Linked DNA regions of Rattus norvegicus. The protein of the gene in region 2 interacts with the protein of the main gene of each other region in a pairwise test. Links are inferred from orthologs where the notes say so. Each region holds a gene or a part of one and is shown on either strand. Other genes may lie near its edges.

Region 1 (5,653 bases), on a different chromosome or scaffold from region 2:
AGGGGCGTGAGAGAGCCCCTTAAGTCTAGTCTGGTTGCCCTACCCCACCGACCTCCATCTCAGCCCTAATCGGAGCAGTGCAGAGCAAAGCCGAGAGGTCTTCAGGGCCAAGTGCTGTGTTTCTTGCCTGTTCTCTGAATAGCAGTTTGTCTATCCTGAAGAGGATAATGAGAGCTGATCAAACCTCATTATAAAGAATACATTTATAATTATAAACAAACATAGAGGCTCTCTCATCCTAAAATCTACTCTTTAGCATGACTTATTATGCCACTATAGGAAGATTCAAGATTACTACCATTTAGATATGTCCCAATAAAGTTTCTAGGAAAGCTGGGTCCTTCAGACCCAGGAGCTCGCTCACTCACACACCGTCCATTTGCCAGGCACTGGAGCTGCAGCTGAGTAAGCAGTAAGAGAAGTTAAACAGTGACTCTAAACATACCATACCTGCCCCCATGAAGTTTTAAGCAAGCCCATAGGCTCACAATTATCCCTGCACTTGGGAAACTGAGACACCAGGCACAAAGGCCAGCCTGGACTTCACAGTGAGGTCTTGTGTTATATAACACGACCTAAAAAAACAAGCTGTGCTGGAAGTTCTGGCCAGCTTGGAACACAACTGGCTGAGGGCAGGGTGTTTGTTTTATATATGTATTTATTTAGAGATAAAGTCCCACTCATACATCTTTGGCTAGTCTGGAACTCACTAGATAGACAGACCAGCCTAGACTCCCAAAACTCCAAAAACCCCACTTGCTTCAAAAGTGCTGGCATTACAGGCACACACCACAATAACTCCTTCTGTGCAAACAACTAGACAAGCCTAATTTGCTACTTGATAGTATTATTCTTCTGGATTCCAATGGACAAGAATAAAGACACAATAGCCAAGAAAATGAAACATTACATGCTCCCAAATAAAATACATGCAAACCACTCTAATCTTCAGGTTCTACCAACCAAAATGACAACCCTAGTAACATCTAATGCTGGCATCTTCCATTTGGACAAAAACATTTCTCTATATTGGGAAGAAGGGTCACACTTGAGTATTTCAGAATTCAAGCACATGAACTCAGAGGTCTTCCTCAAAAATATGCACAACTATGCCTCCACAAGAAAAGTTATTCTTCTACTGTAACCATATCAAAATACAACAAATTATAAGTCATGTAAATGGAAACAAACCTTTTTTCTCTTGATATGGGTGTATCTTTCTCCAGAAAGTGCCTCACCCAGCCCACAGCCTGGACAATTGTCTTCTTGGCTCTCTAACAGTTGTGCCTCACAAGAAAGTAAGGTCTGATGCCCAGAAAAGACCACTGTGGCCTCAGAGGATGCCTGACTGCCTTTCCAGCTCTTCCCTGACGTTTGGAAAGGAGCCTTAAAATTTAAAAGGTTGTAGGGGTCCTCAGAATTACAGAAAGAGTTCCACAATCTAAGATTTTCTGCTTCATCTGCACTGGATTCCCAGTCATCCTCCTCCCCGGAACTCTGGTCAGGGGTCTGGGGAAGGAGTGTGGCCTGAGAACTCCCTACATCAGAGTTGCCAGACCAGGACTTCTCTGAATCAGATGGGTCTCTGGGGGCAATTCTGGCAGCAGTCTGAATTGTGGCTGTAAAGTTCTGGGGGTTGTAAGGATCTACACTGTAGAAAGAGTTCCAAAGGTGAAGCCCTTCGGAGTCTTGTTCCCTGTCTGATTCAGATAGGGAGCCATCACTATCAAAACCATCATCCTCAGGTTCCTCATCCCAATCCTCACTTTCAGAATCGGAGCTGGTGTCCAAGTCACTGGAGGCTCCTCCCAAAATATAATCTATCAGTTTGTTGGTACAAGCTGGTCTGGTAGAGACTGGAAGGTTACCCCCTATGTCTGAGTAGTCTTCACATTCTTTTTGCACACTTAACTCACAAGACAGACTGCTTCCCTGGGGGCTCTGTAAAACTTCCTCAACCACCAATTCTACTTTTTTCTCAGTGGGCTGCGGGCTGGCTCCAGCAGGGGAGACTGCCTGTGCTGCCTTATCTGTGCAATGTTGCGGATCCATCCGGAGAAGGCAGTGCTCCTCCTCCAGGCTATGATAGCCATTGTCTTGGTCAGGGGTGGGTAACTCTTGCCCCTTGTTTGCCTGAAGGAATTCTAGTCGTTTCATCCGAAGGTGGTGGATTTCTGGCAGGCCTTCTGTAGAGAGGGGCGGACACCTCCGCCAGGCAGTTGCCGACATCTCAGCACACAGCGGCTGAGGGTGACAAGCATCTTCAGAAAGGTAGCAGCTCTCTGGGGATAGTGTTCGGAAATCCACAAGTTGGCCACCTCCGACGCTGTTCTGACAGCGCAGCTCTAACTGGGGAAGGCAGTCCAGGTAGGAAGGGTTCAGGAGATAGGAAACTACCTTGAAATTGCCCAAGCTCTGAGTACTCAGAGGCCCAGAGGATGAAGAGCCAAGTTCTCGGTGGGAGACTAGACCGGTTTGAAGACTACCGGGCAGCAACTCCACTCCCCACAGCTGCTGCTCCAAGAGGAAAGTGTGCGCTGTAGAGTCTAAAGCTCTTTCCTGGGCCTTGAATTTCAATTCCAGGTCTGAGGACGAGCACTGCCCCTGGAGTCCCTCCTCTAGCCAATCAAGAGAACTGACAACCAAGTCTTCCGAAGAAGAGTCCAGCCGCAGAGAATTCAAAGATTTCTGCACTGTGGGAGCGGCTGATTCCTCCCGTCCTCTCAAAGCTCTTAGAGCGCTGTAACTTGCTGAAAAATCTAACCATCTGGTCGGAATCATGCCACCGAAAAGCTGACTCCAAATAAGCAGCTTCTGGAGCAAGCTAGGGAGCAGGGCAAGGAGCTGGGAAAGCAATTTGGTCCAGTACCTGGTCCGAGGCTCGGGCCGGGCGGAGACCTCGAGATTTGGTCGAGAAGAAGGCTTCGGGAACTCGGAAGTGCAGGCGTGCGAACGCCGAAGGAAGGGCAGCCGGAACCAGGAGCCCATCCGAGAGGTAGGCCGCTTCCGAGCCCTGTGTGTTCCCGTCTCCATCTCCTTTCCTTGGCAACTTCTCGGGCACGAGTACGGAGCTCAGCGGCGTCAGAGCGGGCAGGATCCGAGGCCTACACAGTCTTAGCCTTGCCCAGACACGGAGTGGGTACTGCATTCCGATTCCCGCGCCAGCAGAGGCCCAGAGAGCGGCGGCTTCCGTAGCGAGCGATGTACCGTACGGCCGGGCGGCTCGCGCAAGCGGTGGCGACCGCGACTACGTCCATCTCGGCGAGAATGGAGGCGCCCTAGTCCGTGTGAGACCGCTCCACCATAGAGAAGACCCCTCACACGGCGGCGGCGGCAACGTTTCCGGAGACCGCGGCCCACACGGAGGCGCGAAATACACAGACGTTAGGGCTGGGTGGCGGGCGAGAGCGAAAGGAAGCGAAGCTCAAAATGGCCGCAGCCGCAAACCCGGAAGCTGCAAGACGAAACGAACGACCGAGGGCGTCTACTCCTACGGCCCAGCGCCGCCTAACGTCTTTTGCTGAACCCCACCCTCAGCTCCCGGGAGGCGGGCTTGCCTCACCCTCGTGCGTGGCCGCTGATTGGCTGAGCCTGCAGTCCCTGTCGGCTTCCTTACTCAGGGCAGAGCAGGCTCGCACGCGGCAAGTTGCATCAGCCGGACCTAGGATATGCGCATGCGCAGTCAGTTCGTTCTGGTCTCCTAGGAGACTCCGCGCTCCACCCTCTGGGTTAAAGGGAAGGACTGGGGGAGGTGAGTGGGTTTCAAGAGAACCTGAGAATTCCCCGGAGCCCTTTTTTTTACGGATCGGGTACACTAGGCAACGTACCGGATTATCTGATACGTGTATCGGTCTTCTCGAATTAAGGGCTTAAGGAGACAGGAGTTAAATGATGTGTGCACTGCTGTATAACCAACTTGTCCAGGACACAATCACCCCTAGTGAATAACAGTAGTGAGAAACTCAAGTGACAACTGAATCACTCATGCTTTCCTGTCCCCTCTGCTTTAGGATTTCTAAGTCTAACATGGCCTGTGGCCTAATTTGGACGTCTTTCAGCGTCCATTTGACAAAATACATACCACTCAGATAAGAAAAACGTGGTGTTACTGACAAGCTGAAGTCACAGGTGGGAAGAGTATTCGTAACTGTTAACTCAGCTTCTCAGAAACAGCGACTTCAATTCAATTTCCTCAAGAACCACAGAGTAGGGGCTGGAGAGATGGCTCAGGGGTTAAGAGCACTGGCTGCTCTTCCAGAGGTTCTGAGTTCAAATCCCAGCAACCACATGGTGGCTCACAACCATCTGTAATGAGATTTGATACCCTTTCTGGCACGTCTGAGGACAGCTACAGTGTACTCATCTATAATAAATAAATAGTTTCAAAAAAAAAAAGAACCACAGAGTATAGCGCCCAGTGAAGGAAAACACATTGGTGACTTTTGTCATCTGAAAAATATTGGCTGGGGCTGGAGAGATGGCTCAGTGGTTAAGAGCACCCGACTGCTCTTCCAGAGGTCATGAGTTCAATTCCCAGCAACCACATGGTGGCTCACAGCCATCTGTAAAGGGATCCGATCCTCTCTTCTGGTGTATCTGAAGACAGCTACAGTGTACTTATATATAATAAATGAATAAATCTTTAAAAAAAATAAAAAAATATTGGCTGATTAATTTTAATTGCTGTATTAAGGGAAGGATTTTGTTTGTCTGAAACAGATTTTACTCTGTAGCCCAGGCTGGCCTCAAACTAACCACAATCTTTCCTGCCTCAGCCTCCCAACCAAGTACTGGCTGTGAATTTGGTCTCTTTCTTTTCCTTTTCTTTCTGTCCATTCCTTTCCTTCCTTTTTATTTTTTCTTACTTATCTATTTATTTATTTGATGTGGGGGTTTCTCTACAGAACCTTTGTTTGAGGCAGGGTCTCTCTGCAGAACCCTGGCTGTCTGGAACTGGCCTTACAGACCAGGCTGTCCTTAAACTTAGAGACATCAGCCTGTATCTGCCTCTCTGGCATGGAGATTAAAGGTGTGAGCCACCACGCCCGGGTCTTTAGTTCACTTTCTTATTCTCATTTTAACTCACAGTGCAAAGACCAAGTGGCTATCCCAGAGGGTAGTAGTTAAAACTAAGAAGGAAGCTTGTTGGGGCACTGGGGGGAGGGGCAGCTGATCCTCTTTCCTGAAACCAAGAGTTTCTCCTGTTTACACCACCCACAATATCTTATTACTTATGTCTGGAAGTAACTGGTTTCTTCATCCTAAAAGCTTTAGAAAAAAATCGTATCAGTAATGAGTTCATTTACATAGTAGCAAGGAAATCCAAGTATGCAAATGAATTACTGCCAGCCTCAGTTCCTTTTGGGGTGAAGCTGAGACAATCATTCCTCTTTTAGTCCCTGGGTGAGGAGCTGTATTCCTAGGCAGATAGGGTAGGAACACAAACAGTAACTAATGTTCTGCTCTTGTTGTTCTCTACAATCCTCTATTGTTTACCACTGCCCACAGAATAAAGGCTCTGTTCAGCCTGCACTGCCCGATTGCTCTTGGCCTTCGGTTCTGCCGCTCCTCTTCTTGAGCACTAGACCAGTCCTTCCTCCTGGCCTTAGATGTCCAGGAAAGGCCTCACCTTTTCTTGTGGTATACCCACTTA
Region 2 (5,542 bases):
TGCAGGGTGACTGGCTCAGGGAAACACTACTGCATTTAGAGTGCTGCAAAGCTGTAGTGCTTATGAACCAAACCCTGTCTCCCGTCTGTCTCTGTAGTTGAGACTTGCCTCTAAGAACTCATGTAGAAGCTAAGCTAGCCTTGACCTCCTGACTCTACCTAAGTGCCTGCGACTACAGGTCTATGCCAGGTCATGACTTAGCCTTGGGTGGCCTAGCACTCATCTCTAAGTCAGACTGGCCTTTAACTCAGAGATCAAGCTGCCTCTGCTTCTCAGTGCTTCGATTAAAGGCATGTGTCACGATGCCCAGCTTAAAATGTATTCGTGTGTGTGAGTGTGAGTGTGAGTGTGAGTGTGTGTGTGTGTGTGTGTGTGTCTGACCCCAGTTCTGGAGTAACAAGCCTTGAGGCACCTGCTGAGTGCAGGAGCTGAGCTTGGATGGCCTGGGTGAGTAATGTACACTCTCATCCACTAAGCCATCCCTCTAGACCTCAGCCTTTGGTTTGGTTTGTGGGTTTTTTGTTTGTTTTGTTTTTGAGAGGGTCTTATTACATATAGTTGACTGGTGTGGAATCTGGTATATAGACCAGACTGGCCTCCTAATTCTTCCTTCTAGGATTAAAGGTGTGTGCTCAGTGCCGCCTTAACCTTTAAAAGACCCCCTTCTCAACTCCTTCATTCAGCCCTAGTTTGGACGATCTTACGGAAGGGTTCCACATATGAGCTCTTGCTACCCTGCCCTAGAACTTCTGGCTTTTCATGCCTCACACTCCAGTGTGGGGGTAAGCAAGCTGCCCTGACTGAAAGGTATCAATTACCAATATGGAGAAACACCGCTTCATCAGGTGACAAATCTTATCTCTCCCTTTCAGAATTAGGCCCGTAGTTCCTTTTATATCTTCTTATGTGTGTGTGCATGTGTGCAGCGCCACACTTGCTAGAGCAGTTGTGGATGGAGGGAAGGGAGAGGACAACCCTCCAGTTCTCTCCTGAATCTCATGTGGGTCCTGAAGATCAAATCGAGTCTTCAGAATTAAGGACAAGAGCCAAAACCCGCAGAGCCGTTTCTGAGGGCATTACAAAGAATGCAATCCCATCATCCTCTGATCAGATCCCTGTGGCCTCTGTCAAGCACTTCCATAAGTAAGAAACACACACATGCACTACACAGCTAGTTACTCTCAATGTTATTTAAATGGTGGCTTACTCTGTTAAGTTCAACAGAAAAGAATAAATCAGGCCAGACATGATAGTACAGCTTTGAATGCTAGCACTCAGGAGGCAGAGGCAGGCGGATCTCTGAAATCCAGGCCAGCCTTTGGGACACAGCAATATCCAGTCTCAAAATTTAAAAAGTAACTAAGAAACTATGGGAAGCCAGGTGTGGTGAAAGCTTTTAATTCCAACACTGTGGACAGCTGAGACAGAGACCAGCCAGAAAACGGGGAGATGGGGGTAGATGGTTGGGGGACTGAAGTGATGACGGTTCTTGGAGACAATCTGGGCTCCACTTCTAGTACCCACACGTGATAGTTCAGGTCTACCTGTAACTTCAGTACCCAAGGACCCAATGCCCTTTTCTTCAGCATATGATGCACATACATACATGCAGGCAAATTCTTGCAAATAGAAAATGTTTTTTTTAAAGAGGGAGAAAGGGAAGCTGATGAGATGGTTTAGTCAGTGGAAAGTCTGCCTTGCAAGCCTGACCGGCGTTTGATTCCCAGAATCCAAACAACAGGAGAGAACCTACTACACCCAACTGTCCTCTCAACCTCCTCATGTGTGCTGTGGTCTGCCTGCATCCACACACATGTGTGCTGTGGTCTGCCTGCATCCCACACATTCCACAGGAAAAAACAAGTAAGTCAGGCTTAGTGGTCTATACAATTCTAGTACTTGGGAGGAGGCAGAAGGATCAGTGTTTAACGCCAGTTCTGACTCCTGAGACCCTGTATCTAGGAGGCATGGTGATACAGAAGATGCCATCAATGAGGAGGGGGAGGAAGAAAGATCTGTGAGAGTTTGAGGCTAGCCTGGTCCACACATGGAGCTCCAGGATAACCAGGACTGGAGAGACCATGTCTCTATAAAACCAAAGCCAAGAAACCCTATCTAAACAAAACAGAACACAGCATTAGAGAGGGGGAAATGACCATTTAAAAAAAAAACAAAAAACACACTTTTTGACTTTTCTTTCAGCGACTTGAAAACATCTACCACCAGAATTAAGCAGCTGTCCACCACTCCACCAATATTTTAGGCAAAAGCAGTGAAAGCAAGAAGGTTACTGGATTCCCCTTCTCCTTAGCTTTAGCAGATACGCTGTGGGATTTGTGAGGAGCAGGTTTTCAGACCTATGTAAAATCTGAATATCGAAAGTAGGAATCCACTGCAGAGCCGTCCCCCCCGCCCCAGGTTGGACAAAAGGAAAGCTGTATTTTTAACCTTTACTCAACCACTGGAAATTCTGTGTTCCCACAGGGTGAACGGTGGAAAGGTGGCAGGTTCTACCTCGGTCCTGGCAACCCGGGGTTTTAAACCTGATTGTTAACTGCATCCTTGGTCCAGCGAGGTCTTTTTGAAGTTTCTCTTGCGAAACACACTTCCAGGATAACAGCACCTACCTGGCAGGTGCTCGCTGAACGCAGCAGCGTCCCCCTGTCCTCAGGACAACAATCTGATGAGCAGAGAGCCACAGTCACCCGGGCTGGGTCCGTGTGCGGATGCACGTTCAAGGGGAAAGAGCACTGGAGGGAGGAGGATGGCTTTGGGGTGTGGGGGGGTTGGGGGAGGAAAATGAAGGAGACGGGCTCTCATCGCACTGGGACGTCGCCCTGCCAAGTCACACTGATGGGTCCTTGGACTCCGGATAATGAGAATGTGAAAGCAAGGGCAGGGGGGTGACAAAAAGGCAGGGTCCCCAGACCGGGAGGCGCTGTGTGCGCGCCCCAGATCCAAGCGGCTCCCGAGAAAGACCGGCCTCTACTGGGCCTGGTCCCCACCGGCCCAACCCGCCGCCCGCCCGCCCGCCCGCGCGCCGCTCACCTTCCAGCAGCCGTTGGATGATACTGTCGATGTTGAGTTTATCGATATCCGCCATCGCCGTCCCGCCGCCGACCCTCCCGCAGCGGCGCCGCCGCCGGCTCGCGCCCGGGTCTCACTCGTCCTCCTTCTTCACGCCACGAGCCCCACGAGCGGTGGTGGCGGCGGCGGTGGCAGCAGCAGCCGCGGCGGGTCCCCCCCCCAGCCGCCCCGCTCCCGGCTTCCTCCTCCTCTCGCCACTGGAACCACGAGAAGAACAAAATGGCCGCCGACTCCTCAGGCCAGCCTCGGGCGGCGCACGGATGCGCGCGCGGGAGTGCAGCGGCCGGGCCGGGACTTCTTTACAGGCCCATAGGGCGCGCGGGAGGGGGCGGGGCCATCTGCAGGAGGGGGCGGGGTTTGGCCCACGGGGGGCGGAGCCCGGGCAGAGACGGTTGAGCGACGCTGCAACAGCGCGCGGGATCCTTCCGCCAAACGGGCGGGGGAAATAGACCCCCCCGTGGCGGGAGAGTGAAGTTGCAAAGTTGGCGCGCGCGAGTTGGAGATGGGCATTGACCGGCGGCTATGCGCTGCAAGGGTCACCCTCTCCTCCCGACTCTGCTGCTTTGAGACAGAAGTCGGTCGACCTGGCCGGGTGGGAACCCATTAGGGAGTCACCCCTCGGAACCAATCTGGGGTGGGGTTGCCCGTGGAGTACCCTAAAGAGGAGGAGGTTGGAGCGTTGGGGATTCAAATATTCCGGCTCATTGGTGAATAGGAAGAGCTAAATACACGGCTCCATGGTAAGAACTCTTGTCTAGTATGTGTGAGATCTTTGGTTCAAGCCCCAGCACTGGCAAGATTTAGTAATTCTGCAATAAAGCACCTAAGATCCAATATTTGGGGGAAAAAAGAAGACCCCAAGATAAGCCCAAAATGTTAATCCATCGTGAGTAGCACATTATTTCGGTAATGTGTGTGCTTCTTGTGTGCATTTCTGCAATTTTACATTTTTAGAGAGAGGTTGGGAGAATTCTGTAAGGGATGCTATCTATCTTTCAAATTGTCTTCCTTGAACTCAGAAAGTTAAATAATAACGGAGAGATTCCCCTGCATTTAGCCCGAGCTGGGTTGAATGAGCGCGCCGGAGCAGAGAAAATGGGAATTTGCACATTTCGCGCTAGGAACGCGGATGTTAGAGGCTGCTGTGCGCTCCAGGTTTCAGCACATTCAGCGGCTGCTTGCCTCTAGCTTCCTCGACTCCCCAGGGGCACCCCTTCACCCAGGGGTCCCCAACTCTGCTGCCACTCAGGCTAGCTGCATATTGGAAGAAATGCACACCCATCTGACCCATTTATCTCTCCCAGTAGCACTCCAGAGTTTACAAAGTACTCTCTCCCCCAGTCCCCATTCCAGTTCATCATGTTTCTCAAAGCAGGAAGGATCGGAAGACTCCTTTCCATGCATGCCTTGCGAGGTGGTTTCCCCATCTAGAGATTCATTTTCTGCAAGCTCTGTCTTCCCACGGCGCCGCATTGTGGTGTGGGATGCACCCATCCAGATCTATCCAGATCTGTGCCCCTCTTCTCCTGCCGGCCCGCGGGCAGTGGAACTTCAGGACTCGCCTCAGCTCCCCTCAGCCCTCTGCTCCACTTTGCCCACTCACCAACTCACTGTCCTAAGCTGTGGTTTTGCCCACCGTTACACAAATGGTCATTCATAACACCAAGGGGACCAGCTCACCGGGCATCTTGACATCCTGGAGTCGATGTCAGGCCTTGCTGTGACTATCTGTGGAGGTCAAAGTGGTCCTCACGGAGTTGTTTGGGATCGTGGACTCCTCCAGGGCAGGGTATCTTCCCCGGGACACCGTAGGGGCAGGGATATGTAAGCCAGATTCACTCGGGAGACATTTAGAGTGTCTATTCTGGGTGGAGCAGGTTGAGTAAGACAGGGAAAGCCTTTCTTTCCCTGGGGAGATTCATTTAGTGGGATGGAGAGACAAACACACACCACCCTTCCTAGTATGAACCAGAAACTGTCTCAATGTGGAAGCTATCTGAACAGCTTTTCAGGTAAAGGTGATAACCACCAAGTCTGCCAACCAGTTTGAGGTCCATCCCTGACACAGGTTGTCCTCTGACCTCTGAGCAGACATACATACAAAATAAAATGTAATGAAACATTTGACAAAAAAAAAAAAAAAAAAAAAAAAAAGCAACCTCAAAGCTGAGCTGAGTTAGATATGGCTTTAATTCCAGCACCAGGGAGGCAGAGGTAGGCAGATCTTTGTGAGTTTGAGTCCAGTTCCCGGCTGGTCAAGACTGAGAGCAAAACCTTGTCTGAAACAAAACAAAATCAGCTCATGGCGTCCTTGGTACAAGCCTAGAGATGATATATTCCCAACATTCCCATTTTACAGATAAAGTTAGGCATAGAGAGGCTGGGTTGTTTGCTGAAAGTCACACAGCGAAGTTCCAAGGGGCAGGACTAGAACTGGGGCAGCCTGAAACCACAG
Region 3 (5,678 bases), on a different chromosome or scaffold from region 2:
GTAGTTCATTCTGACATTGCCATGTTTCTGTTGAGAATCACTAGAAAATAACTTCGTGTGCTCCTTTGCAGAACAAGTGTGCTGGTCTGTGCTCCAGCACAGCAGGTTATGCCTCCTCTGTTGGGGACAAATCGTCAGGCATGTCACTCACTGAGGACATCAGTCAAGGGGTGACTTGTAAGGTTTGCCCCCAGCTAGGAAAAAATGTTTCTAATCTAGGATTGGGCTGATTTTTTTTCTCAAAGCAAGATACGAGGTGAGCTTTGGAGTGGTTTTCCTTGTAACATTTCTTAGATTTTGTTTTGTGTGTTCCTGTTTTATTTTGGTAATTTAGAATTTGAGTATAAAAGGCATGAGTACTAGAAGTTCTCTTTGAAGAACTTCTCTTTGAAGAAGTTCTCTTTGAAGCTGAGACTGTGGCTCAGTAGTAGAGAGTTCACCCAGCATGCAGAAGGCTCTGGACCCAATCTCCGACACTACAGGGTAAGTTAGCAATGTGGGTTTTTTTTTTTAAGATTTATTTATTTTATTTTTTGGTTGTGAGCCTAGCCTTTAACGGCTGAGCCATCTCTCCAGCCCTTATTTTTTAAGATTTATTTATTTATTATATATGAGTACATTGTAGCTGTCCTCAGACACACACATCAGATCTCATTACAGATGGTTGTGAGCCACCATGTGGTTGCTGGGAATTGAACTCAGGACCTCTGGAAGAGCAGTCAGTGCTCTTAGCCGCTGAGCCACCTCTCCAGCCCGATTTATTTATTTACTATGAGTACACTGTAGCTGTCTTCAGACACTCCAGAAGAGGGCATCAGATCCCAGGACAGATGGTTGTAAGCCACCATGTGGTTGCTGGGATTTGAACTCAGAACCTCTGGAAGAGCAGTCAGTGCTCTTAAACTCTGAGCTGTCTCTCCAACCCTGAAATTCATTTATAATCTCCAGTTTATATTGATGGAGTGGACCAGCAGGCAACTTAAAGATAAAGGAAGGTGGTGTGAGCTGTAGATTTGCCATTCAACCCAGAAGCCTAAGGCACCTACCCCTAGTTTGAGTCTGTTTTTGCAAAGGCCCACATTCCATGAGGCAGAGTCCCTGGAAGGCAAGAGGCACGGCGGGCAGCGGTGCCAGGCCTCAGCTGGCTGTGGACTGTAAGGCAGGTGAATGGAAAACACACCGCCAGTCAGCAGCCTCCAATTTTCTAATCCCTCCAAGCAGTTGCCCTACTGTGTATGCTGGGGAGGGAGCCGCATTATGCAGCTCTACCTAAAGAAAGTTTTCACTACTTATCAGCTGTGAGGTTGTAACCCTTCAGAGTCACTACCCCCCTACCCATTCTTGGAGGTATGCGTTTCAATAGGAGTTAGTGGGACCTTTACCCTTGTTTTTGTACTTCTCTGCATGACAGAACTGCCTAAATGTGTAACGTGTGTGTGTGTGTGTGTGTGTGTGTGTGTGTGTGTGTGTGTGCGTGCGCGCGCGCGCGCGCGCGCGCGCGCAGAAACAAGGCTGCTTCCTTGCCTCTTACACATAATGGATACCTGGCAGAACCGTGGGTGGCAAGCTGTAAACCAGATATTCATACACGCAGTAAGTCTGGGACCTACAAAACCAAGATTCTCGAAAATACACTCTTTATTCCCCGAGTGGATCTCAGAAGCAGCATTTCTAGGTCCGAAAGGGAACCTTGGCTGCCTGCCCACAGCGGTTCAAGGACTCCAGATTGGTGCGGAGCCTGGGCCTAAAGGTGGAAGGCCCTTGCAGCTTGTATACTGAAGTCAGAACTGTGCCAAGGTCACCTAGGTCGCAAGGGTCCGCTAGGCGATACCTGCTTTAATTACAAGCCCTACTTTAATTGGGATCCAAGGCGCCGGATTTAGAGCGCAAAGGCGGAAGTGAGGAGCAGCCATTGAGCAGCGCTTCACTGGGTGTCCACAGACTTTCACCAATAGGGTCTGACTAGTGCCGGTTGTAGTCCAATGAAAATGCTAAAGGGGAGGGGTTTAGTGGGTATTCTCCAGTCAACTGGGCTGTTTGCTTCTGCTATAGGTAGGTAGTCCTGCCCTTAGGTCCGAGCGCGCTTGCCCAATTGGCGGCTACCAAGGGGGGCGTGGCACGGCGCGGTACTGAGGCAGGTAGCTGAGAGTCAGTCCGACGCGCGATCGCCGTGCAGTCCTGTCGCGGCCGCACGGCCGCAGCATGGCCGGCCTGGGGCGGCTCGATCCGGGGCCGCGAACCGTGATGCCCGCCTGGAAACGGGAGATACTTGAGCGGAGGCGAGCTAAACTGGCCGCTCTGAGCGGAGGCCCGGGATCTGGAGCGGCACCGGATGGGCCTAACGAGCGGCTGGTGCTGGCGGAGAGTCTGGGTCCACTAAGCCAGAACCCGTTCATGCGACTTGAATCGGAGAGGCGGCGCGGGGCGCGGCCCGCTCAGCAGCTGCTGGAGCTGTACTGTCGTGTGCCCGGCGTGCGGACCATTCGAGCCGACAACATCCTCATCATCGAGTCAGCGCCAGGGTTCCCGCCCGCTGTGCCGCCCGCTTCGAGCATCCGCGCTGCCGAGGTAGTGGTGTACGAGGAGCCACAGCCCGGCCGGGTCAGCCGCCTGCTAGAAAAGTTCGACTCGCCTGCTGCGCCCCGCCGCCGCGGGAGCCCAGAGCGCTTCCGCCCTGCGCTCCCGCAGCTTCCCGTGGCGCCTGCATCTGCTGCCACGCGCGCTCCTACCAATCGGTCGTTGGCTCCTGCCCCACCGGTGCTCCCTAGCCAGCCCGCACCCCCTATTTCGCCTGTCCCCGTTGCCCAGCGCGCGGGTCAGCGCTCTGCCTGTTGCGAGCCCGCGCACCCCGACGGCACTGCCGGCCCCGGGGCCCGGCGCAGCGACTTCCTACAAAAGACCGGCAGCAACTCCTTCACTGTCCACCCCCGAGGCCTGCCCGGCAGTGCGGTCAATCGCTCGCTTTCTAATGGACCCATGACTCAGGAATCCCCTGCCGGCCCTGCCAATGGGTTGTCGGGCTCTCCGCCTGTACCGGGCAAGTGGAAGCCAAAGGTGGAGTCAAAGGAACCCTCCCTCCACCCACCCCCAAGCCCTGGGACCCCAAGTGCCACTCCAGTTGGGCCCCCTGCCTTCCTGGCGCCCAGCCCAGCCAGTGCCACTCCCAGTCAGCGCCAGTGGGTCTCCTCTGCCACCAGCGCCAATGACTCCTTCGAAATAAGGCCATCCTCCAAGCCAGACATGGAAACTATCCCAATTGGGGACCTTCAGGCCAGAGCCCTGGCCAACCTCAGAGTGAACTCCCGCAACTCCTTCGTGTTGATCCCCAAGCGCAAAGCCCCTGGGAACTATCCTTCGGCGGCGGGGAGGCAATTCGAGGAGCCAAAGGGGGAGGTGGGCTGGGCCTCTCAGAGCCAGGGGCTCGGATCCCAGCTGGTGTCTACAGTGGATGGTGCACCTGCCCTAGAGAAGAGTTCCTTGGCTGCTGAGATGCAGTGGGCAGTTAGGGAGGGAGGCTGCCCCAGGCCAGCCATTTCTGACACAGACAAGTCTGTTAGGAGGCAGAGGCCAGCCTCACCACCTCCATTTCTACCAGCCACTACTGAAGCTGAGCCGGCTGAAGGCTTGGGGGTTCCTGGCTTGACCAAGAATGGCCAGGAGCCTGTGAGGCCAGGACTTCCAGTCACCTTCATTGATGAAGTAGACTCAGAGGAGGCGGCCTTTCAAGAAGCCAAACTGCCCTCTTCAGCAGTTGGTGTGCCTTCCCAGTACCACCTGCACCCTTCCACACCTGGGCACACCTCAGAGCTCCTCAACCGAGGTAGCAACACTTTCACAGTAGTGCCCAAGAGGAAGCCAGGGACCCTTCAGGAGCCACACTTAAGTCAGACTAATGGGCAGTTCCAGCAAGGGGCAGAGGAACAGGATGCTGATAGCCTCTCGGGACCCCACACTACCCTGGAGAATGCCCTAAAGAAACGATACCCCACTGTGAATGAGATTGAGGTGATCGGTGGTTACCTGGCCCTGCAGAAGTCCTGCCTCATCAAGGCTGGCTCCTCCAGAAAAAAGGTAAGTGGTAAGGAGAGGGCTGCTGGCACAGATGCCTTCTCCATAAATCACAGGAGAATGGGGCTGTGTGCTTGGGCCCAGTCCAGGGCCTCTGTGAACTTTGACAGCCCCAGGCTGTAGTTAGCCTACTGTTTACTTCAGAGATTTGGGAGAAGTAGCCAGGGAGTGCAGGGTTCCAGCATCCTTTTGGAAAAGGGTAGTTTTGCCGTCTACCTTCAGGAATAGCCTAGCCCGTTGACTCTGGCCTGGCCTTTGATTTGGAGGTAGCTGGCATATTCCTGTGGAGTTTAGTTTGGACAGATCTCCAGAGCCTGGCTGTACATAGTAAGGATAAGGCCAATCAGTTTTTTTGCAGGTCCTCCTCACTTTGAGGTCAGTCTGGGCACACAGCCCATAAGCCAGTTGGAGGGAGTTCTCAGCACCCTGGAAGGTCCAGGAGCCAGAGCTTGGCAGGCCTTTTCCTTCTGCAAGCATGGATTGAGAACCCAGGCTTCATGCCAGACATGGTCAACAGGGCCTTGGGCAGAGAAACTCAAGAATAATCCCCTAGAGGCTCAAATGACCAGGGTGAGCTATATTTCCTGGCCAGCTCTGGCCAGTGGCTTGGAGCCCTCTGGGCACAAGGAAATCATTCCTCCGATTCTTCCTGATTGTTCCAGGGTCTGTGTTTGTCCCCTGGGGCAAATTCCAAGACCTACCCCACATGACTGTTAGTCAGCAGGCACAGGGAAGTGCACCTTTCCCTTCTGCTGAGATGGCACCTGCAGTGTCTACATTTACATTCACCCTGGTTAATGCTGTTTTTTGGGGAGACCTTTTTGTCCTAAGCCATGTCACCTCCTCACTCTTTTTCCCTTACATTTTGTTTCTTGCCACAGTTGGCCTTGCCATCATCTCTCCTGCCAATTCCACCTGCCATGTCAGGCATCCGGGGGGATTTTGGTGGGGATTCTGGTGGAGACTCAGGGCTGTAACATTTTTTTTTTCCACATAAGACCATGTCTCTCCCACTCTCACCTGTGCTCTTTACCCCAAGTCCTTGGAGCAGATTGATCCAGGCCCTTCCCTATCTTTCGCTGCTTCCTGATCCTGATGTCTGTGAGGTGGCCGTCCCCAAGCTTGTTGAACAAGTGAAGTGGTGAAAGCCTATACAGCTGAGGAAGCTGAGGCTGGGGAGCTTCACGAGGCCATGGAGCGCGTAGCACAGGAGCTGAGTCCATGTTCCAATTTCCAAAGCCTTGCTCCTATCCTGGGACACTTGGCTTCTTGAAACTGAAAAGCTTCTCCTAAGGGCCTGGCTCTCCTGTCCCTGTCTAGGACAGCTGCGAGAATCACCCTTGGCTGGGTTAAAGTGAGAAGGGCAGGGCTGCCAGGTACAGTTGTTCATGCAGATCTCAAACACTAAAGCAGGACAAGGCCTAAAGGCTAGCAGGGCTGGGGTAGGACCCTGGCCAGCATCCTGGCTGTCTGGGCCAGACGGAGGGAGTTGGGGGTCCAAATGGTTGATGCTTCCTGTGACCAAGTGGCCTGGGCAGGGCTTTCTGTAGCAGCACAACCTGCTGGTTGTGCCATCCTGCCTATGTATGCACCAGCTGCCCTGCCCAGCA
Region 4 (5,715 bases), on a different chromosome or scaffold from region 2:
GGAGACTGACTGGGCGCATGCATGCCTCCTGTAGTTGGTTCTCTCCTTCTATCACATGGGTTCCAGAGATAAAACTCAGATCACCGAGCTTGGCCCTTTAGCCACTGAGCCATCTGGCCAGCATATGACAAACAGATTTTAAGCAAACTACTATCAAGCAGCCTCCCTCAGCAAGAGTTTGCATAGAAGGGAAGAAAGTGTGAGGCAAGAAGAAACCGGCCCTGGGAACAAATGAATCATCTTCACGCTGTAGCTACACCCTTAGACGTCATGACTATTCACAAACAAATGTAGGTTTTCTGCAGCGGCAGTGAGCTGGGCTTGGAAAGGACAGTGCCAATGTCAGGGTGCCAAGCTGGTCTAAATTAAAGGGCCCCATCTTAAAGAGCAAATGATATCCATAGTAACTCACTCTAACAATGTTTTAATACTTCAGAAAAGATTGCTATCAGATGGGAGACCCCTATGGTTATGGGGTATACTTGCAGCTTTTCTTTATGTTGGATGTCCTTCGGTGGTACCAAGGTACTGAATTCATAGAGATGTTGTGAGGATGAATCACCTTCTGAGCTGGTTTCTGTCGTTACAAAAAGGGGATAGTGATTTTTTTTTTTTAATGTGACTCAGAATTATGTGGCAAAGGCAGACTTGGGACTGTACAGGAACAGCTTTCATTGATGAGAAAAAGAACTGCTAGGTTATATTTTCTCTGAGTGGCTGCTCAATTATTACTTTAACGGTTCCCGAAGTTCTTATGTAATTTTCTCATGTCTTGTTACTTACTATTAGGCCATAACCTAAGGTAAAGCCAAGATTGCTTATAATATTTTTTATGCAGAAAAAAATGTACTGGTTCTATTTTGATATCTGCTGTACGGTAGAATGTCAGAGGATCCAGTATATTAGGTTCTCTTCTTCAGAGGAGAATGTTACATAAATGCACTAGTGAAATTCAGGGAAATTTCACTTAGACCAGGAATGATGAGAATGACCTTTTGATAGGAACACACACACACACACACACACACACACACACACTCACACACACACACACACACACACACACACACACACACACAAAAGGGGTGGAGGAGTGAGGTGGGACAAACAAACACAGATGGGAACAATATCCAGATTAAGAATGACTAAGTGTTAGGGTGCTCTGGAATTAACGAAAATTGTAATTGTAGGCCGGTCCTTCTGTCCCTAACCTTCACAACCAGCTAGGCAGGCAGGAGAAAACAGAGGTTCAAAAATATTACATAACTTGCCAGGGTCATAAAACTCTACATGATGTAACTGAAACCAGTGGTATCAGGATCTGCCTGACTCCGAAGTCCTTGCTTGTTCCAGTATAGCACCCAGAAACAAAACCAACTAACCAACCAAACAAACAAACACCACATTTGGGAATTTGAGGGACCAGGGGATTTAATTTTTTTTTTCTTTTTTCCTATTTGCCTTCTGATAGTCTTTTGTTTTTGGTTGTGGCATTCTGTTAGCAACCCAGAGGCTGGGCAAGATCAAACGGGCGGCATTTGTAAACAAAATGACTACATAGCCTTTAATACAACCACAATTTCCTTCTTTCAGAGTCTTACCTAGGATTTGGTAAGGGGTGGGTGGCACAGAAATAATAGAGGTGGTGGCCAGGGTTAAGTTAGTAAAAGGATGATTCTTTTCTTACCTTTAAGTTGTTTATCAATTTCAGGACAACCCGTTGGTTATTCTCTTCTTTTGGTCAGCGTTTATTTTTTTTGTTTCCCCCCTCCCCCCCCCCCCCATTTTGTGGGGAAGGTTAGGCGTTAAGGGGTTCTGTAGCCAATTTCTGTAGTGAATCTGCACAGTAGCTCCAAAAAAGTTGAGGTCAAAGATTATTTCTTTATCTGTTTTGGGAAGGAATTGTGCATGTGCTTAGAAAAAGAAAAAAGAGATTTGTTCTGGGTCACTCTCCTTTCATACTGACGCACTGAGGGGATTAAAAGGGACCCCCTGTCTGCGCGAGAAATGAACCGAGATTCCCTCACATTCCCGCTCTGCATTCACATACCTTCGGGAGGGAAGAAAAAGGTGCTGGGGTCTGACGGGGGTGGGGTGGGGGGAGCCGACAGCTTCCGGCTCCCGGGAAGCCGCGTCAGGGGCGGGCCACCGGCCGCAGGCGGGCGGGCGGCGCAAGGCGCACCGGGCCCCGCCACCCCCAGGCCGCGTTGCCTCGCGTTCCCTGCCGCTCGTGCCCGGTGCGGCCGCCGCAGTCCCGGCGCCGTAGCGGGACGTGGGGTCCAGGGGGCGCTGTGGCCCAGCGGCGCGGGCGGCTGAAGCGGCCACCGCGGCGCCCGAGGCTTCGCCGAGCCCGTCCGCCTGCAGCGCCTCGGTCGTCCCGCCGTAAGCTGCGCCCCCGGCCGCGCTCCCCCAGCCCCGCGTGGCTGAGGCGACTGGAGCGGCGCTGGGCCTCGTCCCCGGCCGCAGAAACCGCAGCCCCCTCAGGAGTGCGAGGCTTCGCGGCGGAGCCCTGCTGTGGAGGAGGCTCTCGGCTGAGTGACGACCCCCGGGCCATGGAGAGGCGGTGAGTGTGGCGCGCCGCGGTCCGGGGCTCGCCTGCTTGCGCCGCCCAGGGGTCCTGGCGCCTGCTTTCGGGTCGGGCGGACGGAGCGTCCTGCCACCGCGGCCACCGCAGCCACCGCGGGCACCCCGAAGCTCTGGGGCCTCGGCCCTTTCTCCGTGGGTCCCCCGGGAGACTGAAGGCGTGCGGGGGGCGACTAGGCCCCGCGCCGCCGGGAAGCCCTTAGCTGGGCCTGGGTTCCGGCGCGGCCGGGTACGTGAAGACTGGGCTGGCGGCCGCACCGGTGCCCTTCGCATTTGTCCCGGGCGGGGCCGTGCGTGCCTTCCTTCCCAGGGCCCTGAGTGCACATCCCGGAGGGAGGCAAAGGACGGCTTGTTTGCAAACAGCTTTGGCTTGCCTGCGCGGCTTACTGAGTCCCGCGGAGCCAACCCCTGGGTGGGGAGTGGTGAGTATTGAGGTGCAGAGAGTGCGGGCACTCGGAGCCCCAGATACTCCAGGAGTAGCATTCACGCCTCTCTTGATGGAGACACAGCCTTTTGCGTCCTTTTTTGAGGTGAAATTTCATCACCTGCCGCTAGCTCATCCTTTCCTCCCTATGTTACATCTGAGCGAGGTCTGCCTTGGAGAAAGCCCCATCCCATTTTTGCCATGCTAAGTTTCCTAGCTAACCACTTACAGTTAAAAAAAAATCTTTTATGAAGGTGTCTTTTCCACCTTCAAAGAGACAGGAAATTGTTTAATGCCTCAGTCCTTGGTACAAAAATGTACCACTCAAATAGGGAACGGATGGCAAGAAGAATTTTAAATCGAACCAATTAACCTAATAGCAAGGACATGCCGACAATGGGATATAAACTCAGTTGTACAAGAAAAATGATTTGTTTTGATGTAAAAAAAGTGATTGTAGTTTGATATCACACCTCAGTTATTGGCGTGCTTCTTGTTTATGATTACAGGTTATTTTTATTTTCTATTGTAAGGACTTATGTATATCTAGAACTTTAAGGCATGAAAATATGTATATATACTAGAAAATTTGGATACGCAGAGAGGTACTATATTGGCTTTCAATATGTACTTAATAACTGGAGAGAGATTACTGGTAATGTCATAGTATGTTTTGATGGTCATTCAAAGTTTACAGTGAGAGTACTCATAGTGACTTAAAATTTATTATTATTATTATTATTGCTGTTGTTGTTATTATTTGGTATTAATTAAGAATACCTGACTGGTCCACTTTACAGTCAGGCATTTGTTTAAAATTTATAAAATATGTTACTAATTACCGGAGTTAGAGCCATCAGCTAATATGCATAGTTACCTGTAAGACTCCTGACTTAACCTTCCTACAGAGCGTGGGAATCTCCTGAGGACTAAGGAGGTTCATCATGTTGAAGAATTTTGAGCACCCATTGTGTGTGTGTAGCCTTGCCTTTGTCAGATTTTGTGTGTTTTTAACTGTAGAACATTGGTTTGATTAAGTATGTTCATTAACTTAGGTTTTAAAAATCAAATTCTTAGTGTCTCTAAAGACCAATATTAGAATCAGTTGGGGTGCTGATTAAAATATTTGATCCCTGGTCCCCTAAATCAGAATTGTAGATCAATTTGAATTCAGAATTCAAAGATCTTGATTTTTATCAACCTTCCTGGTTTCTAGTACTTCTTAATTTGAACATCATTGATAAAAGTTAAAAGAGATTTGCTTGGGTGATCAAAAGTGTCCTCTCTCTAGCACAGCTTTCACTCTTAAGTGGCTTACAGATGGTTTTCATAGCAACAGATAATGGTTTTGTAATGCAGATAGAAAAACAGTTGTTTTAGTAAACAAACCTGGTGAGCCTGCAGTGGGAACATTAAGGAAAACTACCTGGTTATTCATCTTGGCAGTGGATAAACGTCAATATTGTCTATAAAATGCAGTTAGGTATTATACTTAATTTGGAAGGCTTTTAGAAAACAGCATACAAAAAAGTATTGTATAAATTTTTTTTTTTTCCGGAGCTGGGGCCTGAACCCAGGGCCTTGTGCTTGCTAGGCAAGTGCTCTACCACTGAGCTAAATCCCCAACCCCTAAATTTTTTAAATATAATTTTAGGTAATACTAATATCAGATTCTGTCTTAGGTGTTCTGGGAAATACAAAAATGACCAAGGCTTCCGCTAGCAATTAGCTAATTGTGGAAACAGGACAAGTTTAATTAACTGTTACAAGGCAGGGTCAGAAAAGTGTTGTAACTGAGTAAAATGAGCTAGGTCTCTGCTTAGGGCTTCTGTGTCTCACCCAGGATCTTGCCGTTCACGAGCATCTGTAAGGGATGGGAGGTCACTCTGGAAGAGGATTTGCTTAGAATGTGCACGTCCCCCGGTTTAATTCTAAGAATTGAGGAAAAAAATCATATGCAGTGTTCCTTTCTTTTCCAATTCCTGATTCAATGTTTTCTTTAAAGAGACAGTAGCATGTGTTTCCTAGGAAGTACTAGTTTTATATTAACTCCTTAGTGAATAGAGAACAAGTGAATGAGTAGGGATGAACTCATTCCTTCCTCTGTTGCTAAGCTGCCACTTTTATTCCATTCACTGAAGTTTATTTGGCTCCTCTTATGTGCTGGTCACAGACTGGTGGTTGCAAGGTACAAAGCTTGATTAAAAGATAATTGCATAGACTTTAGCTTAAGTTCTTTTGTTTCTAGGGGTGGCATGTAAGTGTTTTATGATTATTAATTGCATGGCATGCTGTGGTGCAGCGTATGGAGTCAGACGTGAAGAGCAATGAGATACTTAGGTTCTGAGCTTCTTCTGTTTTCTTGTAGTATGAGTAGCCCTCCCAGGGAAGTAGAAAGTTTCTGTGAGGTGCAAGTGATTATAGACAGTAAAGAGAAACGTTCATTTCCATTTTTCCTTTTGAAGAAAAGAAAAATAAAAACCAGATCTTGTATAGATCCGTGTGACTTAAAGCTTGTCTTCTCTCCTTTCTCTCGACAAGTTTTACTTTTGGATTTATTTTTTAAAATTTGATGGGAAAATTTTTATTGTAATGAGTACATATTTTTCATTTCATCTTTAACTAATATTCCATATGCCTAGGATATACTTGTTAATTTCCTTTCAGTTTTACATTGGTCTTTACTTTTATTCCATCCTTGTATATTC

Evidence for each region. The genes of interacting proteins can lie anywhere in the genome.
Region 1: the proteins of Ppp1cc (region 2) and Ppp1r15b interact in binary tests that used the Homo sapiens proteins (3 or more experiments, as listed by UniProt). The link is inferred for Rattus norvegicus from reciprocal best matches to the Homo sapiens genes PPP1CC and PPP1R15B.
Region 3: the proteins of Ppp1cc (region 2) and Tprn interact in binary tests that used the Homo sapiens proteins (3 or more experiments, as listed by UniProt). The link is inferred for Rattus norvegicus from reciprocal best matches to the Homo sapiens genes PPP1CC and TPRN.
Region 4: the proteins of Ppp1cc (region 2) and Zfyve9 interact in binary tests that used the Homo sapiens proteins (3 or more experiments, as listed by UniProt). The link is inferred for Rattus norvegicus from reciprocal best matches to the Homo sapiens genes PPP1CC and ZFYVE9.

What each region holds. Positions count from the first base shown.
Region 1 is NC_086031.1:47,127,823-47,133,475, reverse strand, and holds the start of Ppp1r15b (protein phosphatase 1 regulatory subunit 15B), read right to left. Parts: upstream 3,477-5,653; 5' UTR 3,034-3,476; coding exon 1,192-3,033; intron 1-1,191. UniProt on the Homo sapiens protein: Maintains low levels of EIF2S1 phosphorylation in unstressed cells by promoting its dephosphorylation by PP1.
Region 2 is NC_086030.1:40,057,946-40,063,487, forward strand, and holds the start of Ppp1cc (serine/threonine-protein phosphatase PP1-gamma catalytic subunit), read right to left. Parts: upstream 3,357-5,542; 5' UTR 3,104-3,356; coding exon 3,049-3,103; intron 1-3,048. UniProt on the Homo sapiens protein: Protein phosphatase that associates with over 200 regulatory proteins to form highly specific holoenzymes which dephosphorylate hundreds of biological targets.
Region 3 is NC_086021.1:28,472,120-28,477,797, forward strand, and holds the start of Tprn (taperin), read left to right. Parts: upstream 1-2,202; coding exon 2,203-4,071; intron 4,072-5,678. UniProt on the Homo sapiens protein: Essential for hearing. Required for maintenance of stereocilia on both inner and outer hair cells. Necessary for the integrity of the stereociliary rootlet.
Region 4 is NC_086023.1:128,754,919-128,760,633, reverse strand, and holds the start of Zfyve9 (zinc finger FYVE domain-containing protein 9), read left to right. Parts: upstream 1-2,239; 5' UTR 2,240-2,563; intron 2,564-5,715. UniProt on the Homo sapiens protein: Early endosomal protein that functions to recruit SMAD2/SMAD3 to intracellular membranes and to the TGF-beta receptor.